3 separate regions of the Mus musculus genome follow, and all the other regions are reported to be linked to region 2. Evidence: microRNA targets listed by miRTarBase, many of them from high-throughput screens and not tested one by one. Region 2 holds a microRNA gene; each other region holds the end of a gene's coding sequence.
Evidence for each region. The annotated mature microRNA mmu-miR-5112 reads UAGCUCAGCGGGAGAGCAC and lies in region 2 at 2,152-2,170, opposite strand. An mRNA with a match to its seed (bases 2 to 7 or 8) in the 3' UTR can be bound and repressed. Matches are read on the target gene's strand: a 7mer-m8 pairs with bases 2 to 8, a 7mer-A1 pairs with bases 2 to 7 and ends in A, and an 8mer does both.

Region 1: miRTarBase lists Rhbdl2 as a target of mmu-miR-5112. Seed matches in the 3' UTR shown: 7mer-m8 at 3,317-3,323.
Region 3: miRTarBase lists Igdcc4 as a target of mmu-miR-5112. Seed matches in the 3' UTR shown: 7mer-A1 at 3,515-3,521.

The regions. Positions count from the first base shown.
Region 1 is chr4:123,828,901-123,833,141 of GRCm38, reverse strand. It overlaps Rhbdl2 (rhomboid like 2), which reads right to left. Exons shown (of 8, transcript NM_183163.2): 8 at 3,238-3,608. The coding sequence ends at 3,429. Among named protein-coding and RNA genes, the nearest start is that of 1700121C08Rik, 26 kb to the left of the region's middle.
Region 2 is chr18:82,718,220-82,722,460 of GRCm38, reverse strand. Mir5112 (microRNA 5112) reads right to left here and starts at 2,180; the gene lies at 2,121-2,180.
Region 3 is chr9:65,135,032-65,139,272 of GRCm38, reverse strand. Igdcc4 (immunoglobulin superfamily, DCC subclass, member 4) reads right to left here. Exons shown (of 20, transcript NM_020043.3): 20 at 1,326-4,161. The coding sequence ends at 3,745. Among named protein-coding and RNA genes, the nearest start is that of Igdcc3, 4.0 kb to the left of the region's middle.

The sequences.
Region 1 (4,241 bases), not on the chromosome of region 2:
CTCCAAAGACCTATGATGCTTCTGAGGGCACCTGCACTCCGGTACACATTGGTACACACAGCTACATATAATTAATTTTAAAACTTTTAAGAGGAGTGTGGTTCAACCCTTTAGGGTTTCCAAATGTGTGCACAACACACACACATAGTCTAAAAGTTGGGGAACTGGGTCAGTACACAGTGTTTACTGGATACATATATCTAAGTTTACGTTCCAAGCACCCAGTGAAAGTTGGGGAACTGGGTCAGTACACAGTGTTTACTGGATACATATATCTAAGTTTACGTTCCAAGCACCCAGTGAAATGCAGAGCAGCTCACTTTATAATCCCAGTGCTGAGGGGTGGGGGGAGACAGACAGACAGACATCCTAGAGGCTGGCTGGCCAGCTAAACTAGCTGAAAAGGTAAGTTCTGGAGTCCACAAAAAATGTCTCGGGGATGGAGAGATGGCTCAACAGATAAAAAGCACTGGCTGCTCTTCCAAAGGTCCTGTAGTTGAATTCCCAGCAACCATATGGTGGCTCACAACCATCTGTAATGGGATCTGATGCCCTCTTCTGTGTGTGTCAGAAGAGAGGGGTTGGGGAAGAGACAGTGTTTCAAAAAAATAATAATAAAGTAATGGACAGAAGCTGGGGACCCCTGTGGTTGAATTAGGGAAAGGATGGAAGAAGCTGAGGAGAAGGGCGACCCCAAAGGAAGACCAGCAGTCTCAACTAACCTGGACCCCCGAGATCTCTCACTGAGCCATGAACCAGGCAGCATACTCCATCTCATATGAGACCCTCCCGACACATATACAGCAGAGGACTGCCTAGTCTGACCTCAGTGAAAGAAGATGCACCTAACCCCCAGGGAATGGTGGGATGGGGGTGAGGGGTGGGGACATCCTCTTTGAGACCGGAACTGAGGGGCACATGGGGGGGGCAGAGGAGGAATGGGAGGAGGAACTGTCAGTGGGCAGACTGAGAGGGGGAACAACGACTAGACTGTAAAAGATTAAAGATAAAAGAATATATATTATATCCAATGAACTAAATGAAGATACAGGAAGCAATGTTGGGGTTGAAAAGGATGAGCATAACCAAGAGTCTTTGGAAAGTAAAACAAAACCATACTTTTTACAACACAAAGCACCATTGAGAAGCCACCATAATGGACTTTTACCCCTGTGCAACTGTAAGCAAAAATGAATTATATCCTCTATAAAAATAAAATAAAAAATAAAGGTAGATGAGCTGGCAAAACGTCCCAGTGGGTAATGGTGCTCCCTGGTAAGCGTGGTAATGTACGTTTGATCCCTGGGGCTCACATGGTGGAAGTGTTGTGCCAGGAAGAGTTTGTAAACCACAAAAGACCACCAAGAAGCTGTTTCCAATGTAGAAGCATTAGGCTCTCTTCATTACAAGCTCGGGCTTGGGCTCTCTTCCAACCCAACCCTGACACAGCAGGATGGGAAGGGAAGGTGGAGCAGCTTCGATTCCTCAGCAGGACAAGTTTTTATAGGAAAATGGGGGCAAGTAAGTGATGGGGTGAGGAAGGGGGTGTCCAGTCTGGCAAGCGTCTAATAGGATAACTATAAGCCGAAGCAAGGCCGTATACAATCACAGTCTGAAAGTTCATCTGAAACAATCAGACTAATCTTTTATTGACTGTTGCTAGGAAGTAGCTAAGGACAAGCCATGGGGTCCTTCCTGGTAACTGGGTGCAGGCTGAGTTCTGCTGCGGATCAAGTTCTCAGGCTTTTTTTCTTTAAGATGGAAGCTGGTCCCAAGATGGAATAGGAGAGGTCTTTGGTCCTATGAAGGCTTGATAGATGCTCCAGTGTAGGGGAATTGAGGGTAGGGAGGTGGGAGTGGGTGGGTGGGTGGAGGAACACCCTTATAGAAGCAGGGGGAGGGAGGATGGGATAGGGGGTTTCTGGGAGGGGGGATAACATTTGAAATGTAAATAAAGAAAATATCCAATAATAATTTAAAAAAAAGACAACTGATTCCCTTCTAAAGGTTGCCCTCTGGCCTCCACTTACTTTACTTGTATGCTCTGGTGCACATGCCTACACATACACACATACAAACACACACACACACACACACGTGCGCATACATGCACGCACGTGCACATCTATAAGTATTCAGTACAGATGTATTATTTTAAAATATTTGTAGTCTAGGTCAGTTGAATCTGTGGCTGTAAACCCACAAGTATGCAATTGTACTTTGGTGTTTTAGGCATTCCCATATCCTCATCTCTAAGATACAGAATAATATCTAATTATCTACTTTTCTGAGTTGAAAAATTAGCAGCTATATATACAAAACACAACAGTTTTGCTTGGGGCTCGACAAATGGCTCAGTGTTTGGAAGTTCTTGTTGCTACTGAAGAGGACCCAGGTTTGATTCCTAACACCCGTTATGGTAGCTCACAGTCATTTGTAACTCCAGTTACAGGGGATCCAGTACATGCATATGGTACACACACGTGCACACAGGCAAAACATTCATACACATAGAAGTAAAGTAAGTCTTGCCAGTCATGGTGGCCCATGCCTTTAATCCCGGCACTCCCGAGGCAGAAGCAGGAGGACCTCTGTGATTTCAGGGCCAGCTTGGTCTACAAAGCAAGTTCCAGACCAGCCAGAGTTGTTACACAGAGAATCCCTGTCTCAAAAACCAAACACATAAATATTTAAACAACAACAGTTGTGCTCTGTCTACTGAAAAGTGATTGTCAAGAGTTTTACATGGGAAGCATAGCTCAGTAGAGCCGGCCTTAAAGGATGGAGACCCCAGGTTGGTATCACACAAGCCTGTAATTCCAGCTGCAGAGATGTAAGCAGAGATCAAAGGACTTGCTTGGATTCAGCAAAGTTCTTAGCCATTCTATGATACATACACAAGGCTTTGCCTCAAAGCAACAGGAAGCAAGAGTCCAGCACAGATGTGAAAAAAAAATGTTTATTATCAGGATAGTACAGTTCTCATGGAGCCTATAAACAACCTCCAAGTTACATCCCCCGAGGATATCAAGTCTCCTTCACAGGGTAATACACACATGCTCTGTGCATGAAACACCTGGTCTTTGCTTCTTATCTTCTTGCCTCCTATTGTAAGCTCAGTCGCTGTCCTGCCTTCTTTATAATGTTCTTAGCATTTGCTGGAATATCTGTGTTTCTTTACAGAGTCTACAATTCCCCTCCCCCGGTGACACTTTTTTTTTTTTTGGTTTTTTTTTTGGGGGGGGGTTTTGAGACAGGGTTTTTCTGTGTAGCCCTGGCTGACCTGGAACTCACTTTGTAGACCAGGCTGGCCTCAAGCTCAGAAATCCGCCTGCCTCTGCCTCCCGAGTGCTGGGATTAAAGGCGTGTGCCACCACACCTGGTCCCATGTGACACTTTTATATTAACTGGTTTATCATAGAGGCAAGTCAGTTTGCTGGGGACAGAAAGATGTTAAAAAACACAGCAAATAAGAGACAAGCTACATATGCAGCAATTGCGATCCAGAACCTGGGGTCTTTGAGCAGGGTCTTGTCAAAGCAGCTGAACACAGTGTAACCTATGGACATCCCAGCAAATCCACCTGCAATGTGAGCAGCAAAGGACACCTTGGAGAAAGGGGAAAAAATTAGAAATAGATGGAGAAAATGCTAATTGTATATTTTAGCTGTGGATCTCCTACTCCAGCGCAAATATCATCGTCGTCTTAAAGTCTGGGTCTTGGGGCTAAGATGGAGGAGACACAAACTCCTTTGTCCCTCGAGACAAGATGATGTTGTAAATCACGTAAAGCTCAAAAACTGTGGCCAGGTGAGGTGGGTGTCGCGCGCCTTTAGCCCCAGCACTCAGAGGCAGGCAGATCTCTGTGAGTTCAAGGCCAGCCTGGACTACAGAGTAAGTTCCATGACAGCCAGGGTTACACAGAGAGACCTTGTCTCAAAAAACAAAACAATCTTTTTCTTTTCTGTTTATGTAACTTGTTATTATTGTGTATATGTGTTATGGTAGGGTACACGTGCCACCAAGCACATGTGTAAGGCAGAGGGTAACTGTGAGGCCAAGTCTCTCCTTCCACCCACACATGGCTTCCAGGACTGAACACAGGCTTCCAAGGGAAGTGCTGGCCACTTGAGCCACCTCACCAACCCAAGTCTTTCTCTCTTTTTCTTTCCCCCCTCTCTCCCTTCCTTCCTTTTCTTTCCTTTTCTTTTTTCTTTCCTTTCCTTCCTTCCTTCCTTCCT
Region 2 (4,241 bases):
CCTTGTGATACTCTTGCCTCCTGGATGCTGGGATCTCGGGTGAGCACTGCCAGGCCCAGCACTGGAGCGCAGTGCTTTGTGCTTTATCGCCTGCTGCAGTGCTGCAAGCACTTGTACCAGCAGGGCTGTATCCTCAGCTCGGCAATTCTTCTTTTTTAAAAATGCAAGTTCTCATGTAGCCCAAGCTGGCCTTGAATTACTACGTAGTGAAAGATATCCTTGAACTCTTGATTCTCCTGCCCCCCACCACATCCTAAATTCTGAGGTTTATAGGTAGATGCCAACACCCAGCTGAGATTTTTTTTTTCTGATTATAAAAATAAGATCCTGTTGCTGTATTGGGAAACGGGAGAACCAGTAAAAAGTATAAAGTTACAAATTAAAAAGACTCACAATCCTGTCTTCACTTTCCAGAATTTATTCCCTCTCCGTGAGCCTACGCAGCACTCTGCCATCCGAGGATCAGGAAATAAAAACAAAACGAAACCAACAATAAAATAAAACAAAAAGAAAAAAAATCTAGTTTGGATAGATAGCACTTAGGAAAGGCACATTTATCTACCTCCTTGTTTATATCTTTTTGGAAGAATTGCTTTCGATAAATACTAAATAATTAACAAGTCGGTAGACACAAGCACGTGTAAGCACCCTTCGCCCTCCTCCCTAGGGAGTGCTCTGTAAATTACTGTGTGAGTGCAGGGATGAAGACTGCCCTTGGGTACTAAACGGCGACCTTCTGACCTTTCATTAGACCCTGCTGTTTCACCCCACTGTGAGTCTCTCTGCCCACAGCCCCACGTGTGCAGCTTTGCTTTCTGGGTTAATGGTATGATGAGGCTTGGTGCTGTCCTTCGGATTCAGCTGCTCAATAGGTCAGCTGTCAATCCAGATGAGGGTCCCTCAGCTTCCCAAAGAGCAGTTAGCTCCCACAGAGACAAATATGCCCACAAAATTCAGAGGTGAGGCATACAATTATCTTTTTTTTGTTTTTGTTTATTTTTTGTTTGCCAGTGGGGGTAAAACGAGAGCCAGTATACCACAGAGATACCAGCTCGGCCCTGCTTATTACAACCATGCAATATTACTGTTTCCAATAGCTGAGCTATTGCCTAGATGCCCATCAGCAGATGAGTAGATGAAACAAATGTGGTATACACACTAGAGTCATATTTAGCCAGAAACAAGGAAGAAAGGAAGAGTACACACACACACACACACACACACACACCCCTAACACTCAGAAAGTAGAGGCAGGTGGATCTCTGTGAGTTCTGGGACAGCCTGGTCCACATAGGAAGTTTCAGGCCAGCCAGTGTTTTATAGTAAGCCCCTAAATTGAAAGGAAGGAAGGAAGGAAGGAAGGAAGGAAGGAAGGAAGGAAGGAAGGGAGGGAGGGAGGGAGGGAGGCAGGCAGGCAGAGAGAGAGAGAGAGAGAGAGAGAGATTGAGAGATTGAGAGAGAGGAAGGAAGGAAAGAAGGAAGGGAGGGAGGGAGGGAGGGAGAGAGAGGGGGAGAAAGGAAGGAAGGAAGGAAGGAAGGAGAAAGAAAGAGAGAGAAAAGAACAAAGAAACAAAGAGAGAAAAGAAAAGAAAGAAAAGACTGAGATTTTGTCATTTGCATAAAACAGAACTGGAGATCATCATATTAAGTGAAGTGAGCCAGACATGAGAAAGGCAAAATATGACATGTGCTCTCTCTCCTTTGCACAACGTAGGAGTGTGTGTGTGTGTGTGTGTGTGTGTGTGTGTGAGAGAGAGAGAGAGAGACATGAAAGTAGACCAGAGACTATCTCTACTGGGAGAAGGATGGGAGCCCACAGAATGCAGAAGAACAGGAAAGAGTGAATCTGAGCAGAATATACAGTATGCCATCATGAAACTCATGAATTTAAAGCATTTTTATGAAAAAGGCAGTCAAGAGACATGAATTTAACTTCTTTACAAAAATCGTTCCCCCTGGTGTGCATAGTCACCGTGACTGTGATCCCCGTCCGTCTGTCTGTCACACCAGCTTGTGTAGGCAGACGATGTTGCCCTGAGTGAGGCCACAGCTCTGCATTGGTTTCTGTAGATTGAATCTGGATTTTCCTGGGCTGACTTTCGTCTTGTTTTGTTTTGGGTGGCACTGGAAATGTAGCTGGGGATGAAGCAGGTGCTCTCCCGCTGAGCTACACCCCAGCCCTCAGCCTTCAACCCTCTTTGTAAGACTCCAGCATTCACATGGAACTGTGTTGATGGCCTGGCAGTTCAGTTGAGGGTCTGCTTTTCCTCCCACAGTAGTGATGGATCCTGAGTACTGAGGGCAGCAGCACTCCTGGCCGAGCTGTGAGACTTGTGTCAGAGAAGCATCGTTCCTGCTTCCGAACCCCACTGACTCGGGAAATGAGTTCTCCAGTACGGTCCTGTGGACATGGGTGACTAGAAGAAAATGGCTTCCTCTGTCAGCTAGAGCAGAGACATGCTGCCTACCTAGCCTGGTGTCTGTCTTCACTAAGCACACACCATCATCACCATTACCACCACCATCACCACCACCAACAACACCATCATCATCATCATCACCACCACCACTACCACCACCACCATCATCATCATCACCACCATCACCACCACTACCACTACCACCACCACCATCATCATCATCACCACCACCATCACCACCACCACCATCACCATCATCACATTCCCAGCACCACCTCAAACACATCACCACCACACCACTAAACTGCTATAACATCTCAGTCACAGACACAATTGACAAATAGTTGTTAGAGGGATGACCGATCGATGTCTCCTTAAGGAATGAAACCAGAAACTTCCGCTTAGCGTCCTTTAACCAAGAGAGAGCCCAAATTGGGTTCTCTTTCTCCTTGTCTTCCCCATCTGTCTGTAGTTTGTGCTTACACGTGTGTGTGTGTGTGTGTGTGTGTGTGTGTGTGTGTGTGAGAGAGAGAGAGAGAGAGAGAGAGAGAGAGAGATCTGCCCCGTTGCTTATACGATCTGTTCATGTGCTGTGCCTGTTTGTCCCTGACAGAGGGATCTTCTCTGTGTTAATTGCACAACACAGAAAAAATGGCATGTGCCAGGGGGCCAGGCCTGTCAGTTAAAAGGGTTCCTGAAAGGAGAGACGGAGTCAGCAAGGGAGGAGTGAACTGGACATGGTGACCTTGCAGCCCTGACTGACTAGCCGGTTGCTTCTTTATTTACACAGGTTCCACACAACAAACACAGACTAATGATTGTCCAAGTACAGTTCATATCATTTTATCTCCAGACGCATGCTTGATTTGTCATTACATGACCAGGTGTTACAAGTTCAGTCACTGTTAGAAAGTAGCCTTCGCTTTGGCCTCAAGGGAGGTTGTTTAACTTCCGGGAAACTGGTGGAAGGCAAAGAGGATAAGCAATGGCCAGCAATGGTAGGGTGCGCATGAGTGTGTGCATGCGTGTGTGCATGCGTGTGCGTGTGCGTGTGTGTGTGTGTGTGTGTGTGTGTGTGTGTGTGTGTGTGCGCGCAGAGCTCATTCACTGCCGACTCAGCACGGCCGCACCCAGAGCTATAAAGGTGTGCTTTGAGACACTCCTCCCCCTGCCCCACCCCCCACTGAAGGCAGCTAGAGGCAGCTCTGAGCAGATGCAATGTTTACAACACTGTCACAGCAGACTTCTGTGGGAGGCACTTACAGCCTCACACTCTGCACAAGCAGGACTTGGGCACAGACAACCTCCCACCCCTGCCACTCACAAGAGCTGGACAGACTCAGCTGCTGCTACATGGGCCTTAAGGCAAGCCCTGAGCTCTTGATATTAATTGCCCTGATGAGTCAATGCTACAGCAAGTAAAACGAAATCGGTTGGCTGGATGTAACCATGGCTGCCATATATTTAAAGAGCTTGGTTGGGGGGGGGGGGGTTGTATCTGGGCTAATTTTAGATTTGAAGTCAGAAAGCTCTGAGTTGCTATTTCCTGAACCTATAATGATATCAAGTATACAAGAGCATAAGAGCCACAGTGACTACCTTCTTATTTAGAATAGATTCTTACCTTGCTTGCTTGCTTGATTGCTTGGTGGTCTCAAACTCACCGTGTAGCTGAGGAAGACCTTGAACTCCTGAACGGTCTATCTCTACCTTCAGAGTTCTGGAATTACAGGCATATGCCATGGTGCCCAGTCTATGTGGTACTGAGGACTGAATCCAGGGCTTTGTATATCCTAGGCAAGTATGCTAGCAACTGAACTC
Region 3 (4,241 bases), not on the chromosome of region 2:
AGTACTGAAGAAGGGGCCTCCTTGCGGCCTAAAGTCCTGGAATGCCCTCCTGCAGGCCTTGAATTATCAACCACCCCTTATTGGCATGTTCTGGACTCCAGAGAGGTCAAATTGGTGTCCTGAATTGCTGTCATTTTAAATTCATCTTGACAAGTGTTTAATTCTTCTTTATCACAACCCGTGGTCTGAGAGTGATATGCAAATAATGGCTATTCTGCTGCATGCAAAATGTGCAGTATCTCTCTGTATGATCTGTCAATTAACTCTGAGCCTGGCCCACCAGCCACTTTGGGGGTGGTCTTGGGCATGACAGCCTCTGCTGGCCTATGATTCCTTCCAATGAAAAGGCACTTTCTGGGCTCCTTAAAGATCTCAGCAGAGGGCAGCTGTCAGCTGTGATCCTGAGATGTGTGGAGTACGGGTCTGAGCATGGAGAGTTCTGAGACTGTGTATACACCTGAGGGTGTTTGTGAAGAAGAGCATGCAGGGTGAACCTGACGGGTCACTGATAGCAGGTACATCCCAGGTCAGCTATGATGCAACTCAACACATCGGTGGACGTTGCAGTTTCAAAGGGTTGGCAGGGATCTAATACACTCCTCCAACTTAAGAGGCATGCATGTGGTGTGCCTGTGTATGTGCAGGCAAACACATGCTAGGTAAGTATTCAACTGCACAATGACATTTGCAGTCCCTTTTTTGGGTTTTTCGAGACAGGGTTTCTCTGTGCAGTCCTGGCTGTCCTGGAACTCACTCTGTAGACCAGGCTGGTCTCGAACTCAGAAATCCACCTGCCTCTGCCTCCCGAGTGCTGGGATTAAAGACGTATGCCACCATACCTGGCTGAAGCTTTAGTTTTTTTTTTCTTGGACCCATCTTCTTTCTACTCTCAAAATTTACTGTTTCCTATCCTGGGCCAGGAAGACTTGAGAAAACTCTAGTCAGTTGGTTCCAGAAAGAACATATCTTGAAGCTGAGGGATGGCTTATTGCTCTTGCAGAGGACCCTGATTTGGCTCTCAGTGCCACTACTGGATGGCTCACTAAAATCCAGTCCCAGGGGATCTGAAGTGCTCTGACCTCTGTGTAAACCAACATGCAAAACTCTTTAAAGTTAAAAGAGCAACATGGTTGGGCGGTGGTGGTGCACGCCTTTGATCCCAGCAGCACTGACTGCTCTTTGGAAGGTCCTGAGTTCAAATCCCAGCAATCACATGGTGGCTTATATCCGTAATGAGATTGGATGCCCTCTTCTGGTGTGTCTGAAGACAGCTACAGTGTACTTGCACATAGTAAATAAATAAATCTTTAAAAAAGAGAGAGAGCAACATGTCTGGAAAATAGTTTATTAATTCTTTACAGGGACAGATACATGATCAACACCTTAGTGTAACAATAAAGAATATCATATTTGTAAGGAGGAAGCATGATGCTGGAAAGTGCAATTAAATAACCCAGCACAAACTAAGCACAGGTAAACGAGTGAGCATGTAAGTATTGCATACACTTGTCATGCTTCGAGAAAAGAAATTCTTAAATGAGACTCCAAAGAACTTAAGGCATCCATGGCAAACGACAAAGGGACTAATGCCCTGTAAAAGGCCAACAGACTTTCCTAATAAGACCTGCTGCTACAAAGTCACAAAGCTAACACTCCCCAGTTACTCAGAACCCAAATCATATATAATGCTAGTGAGTTCTGGCTACTTTCTTATCAACTGTGAGTTATAGGCAGATACCAGATTTATTACTTATTTGCTTTTGAGAAACAATTTTCCACCCAGCCTAATGGGTTATAAATTGTCTCATTTGCAGCTATTTAATTTAAACCAGAACCTCAGTGCTTGTTAAACAAGAACATGAGGAATGACTATGTGGTGTGATGCTAAGAGCCTACTGTTAAAACGGTTATTTCATTCAAGGCAAGGAGGAAAAAAATCTAACCAGGAAAACAAAATGAGGCTCTTGACCTTCAGAGCAATGAAGAAACATACGGTGGTGTTGGCCGTGGCCACTTTGAATGCTATAGAAGTAGTTCAAGTGACAATCCTGTCTTTAATGAGATACGAAGCCAGCATTAATAATCTTTAGTGTTATCATAGGCTGGCTGAAGAGGGGAGGAGAAGGAAATGTGGGTGGGGTCAAACATGAGTGACACACAAGGCTAATAAACACAGACGCTTTCAGAAGCTACAACTCCACTGAAAGACATAAAATAAAATAAAATAAAATAAAATAAAGGGAAAATAGACTGGTTATTTCTAACTTGGCCCAGAAGCCAGAGTTAACACTTGATGTGCCAGCCAGTTGAAATAGAAAGATGTGCAGCAAGAGCACAGATGCCACTGGATCTGACAATTCTGGGACATGACTGAGGTGAGAAACCAGAGAGATGGCATGGCTCTTGTGACTCAGGAAATACCAGTCAGGCTTGGCCCTTTGTGGTAAGATGATTTTGGGATTCAGTGTAAAGAAAGATAAAATAAAATGAGCCAGCCGCCCTTTTCCTATGCAAAGACTTCCCTTACAGCATCTTGGAGGAAACTCTTTGCTACTCTGAAGCCAGGTTCAGGGCTCCAGGGTCAGGGAACTGAGCCATGGCAGCCCCAGTAGCTCCCCTCTCCTCACCCCTTCAGTTTCAGCCAGGACTGCACGTCAAAAGCACACACCCATCTCTCTGTGCAGATGGGTGGCAGCCATTTTTTTTCAGCCTCTTGGTTTCACTCCCTACCCCTTCTTGGGGGTTCCCCTGTGCAGCCTGGACTCATCTCTTCCATAGAAAACCTTCTCATCTCAACACCAAGGGGAGGGCAGCCAGACAAGCCACAAGGTCTTTTCCAGATCTACTTGGAGTGGGTCATCTGCCCAGGAAGGCGGTTGGCAGGGGAGCTGTGGGGACCCAGGGGTCACACTATGGTCTGAAGCAGACATGAGGTAGTCATGTTGTTAGGAAAGGGTGCATAGGTTGAACTCAGGGACGAGAAACACACGACATAAAGACAAGCATGGCAGACAGAAATGAAAACAGCAGTGAGGAAATCAGGGGCATCATGGGAAAGAGAAGGGCCCCAGGATAATCGAGCAAGATGACATGAGACAGATCACCAGAACAAATGAAGGAAGGGGCAGAGAGGGACAGGGTGCGAAAGAAGATTTCCCAAACCAGGCACTTCCCAGATTACAAAATTAGGTACAGAGATGCTCAAAGGAGAGGGGAGCTGAGCTGGGTTCACCCAGACATCTGGACCTTAGGAGGCCAGGGGGATGACAGCCATGCTGTGGTAGGCTGCGGTGTCATAGGCCCGTGGAGTTGACTGGCACTCTGCTCAGCACAGCTGACAGAAGAGGGGCTGGCGCTGTCTTTGTAGACACAGCACTGGAGACACTCTCAGAGTGTAATAAAAGGCTAGGTGACAAGGCTAAAAGCTCAAAGAGCTGGCACTGATCACTGTTACACCATCCTGCCACGGAGGGTCAACTAGGCCACAGTGAGTGCTACATAGGGAGAGGTTTCCTAGCTCAACCAGCACACACACACACACACACACACACGACTTCACACGTGTCCATTACACAGAGCTGTGTCTCAAGTCCCTCCTGTATGTGATGCAGAATATGAGGGAGAGTAAAGTTCTCCCCAACCCCAGCCAAAGGACCCTAAGAGGCTCCAAGGACTTATGGATATCTCTAGTACACACATGTGTAGCCATGCATGGCATGTTCCTGAGCCATATCTGCCTTCTGCTCAGGGGACCTGAGCAGAGGAGACAGGGGCCCTGGGAAGGCTTGGGCTGACTGTTAGAGGACACAGGGCTTTGGGCTGGCAGCTTTTCCCAGGGGCCTCCTCTATAGCAGTGCTGGGCTGGAGGTCTGAGCAGGAGCAGGAGGCACTGGCTGCTTCTGGCAAGCAGGTGAGCCTCTCTGGCCCACTGGTTGTTGGTTGGCACCCTCCCAGCTCCCTGCCCAGCCAGTCTGCTCCTTGAGACAGATCCACAGCTCCAGACGTGGAAGGCAGAGTCTCTGCAGTCAGTGGTTCCTCTGGCTCCAGGTCTTGGAGGTGGAGGTCAGGACATCCTTTGGATGCACCGAAGTCGGAGTGGACAATGACCTCAGCTTCCACCTGATTCCTGCAGGCTGGGGACGGCTTCTTTCTCCCGTTGCTCTGGCAGAGTGGAGAACAAAAGGCTAGGTGAGCACCACTGAGAATGGTCTTCAGAAAATGACCAACATATTGGGGGGCGG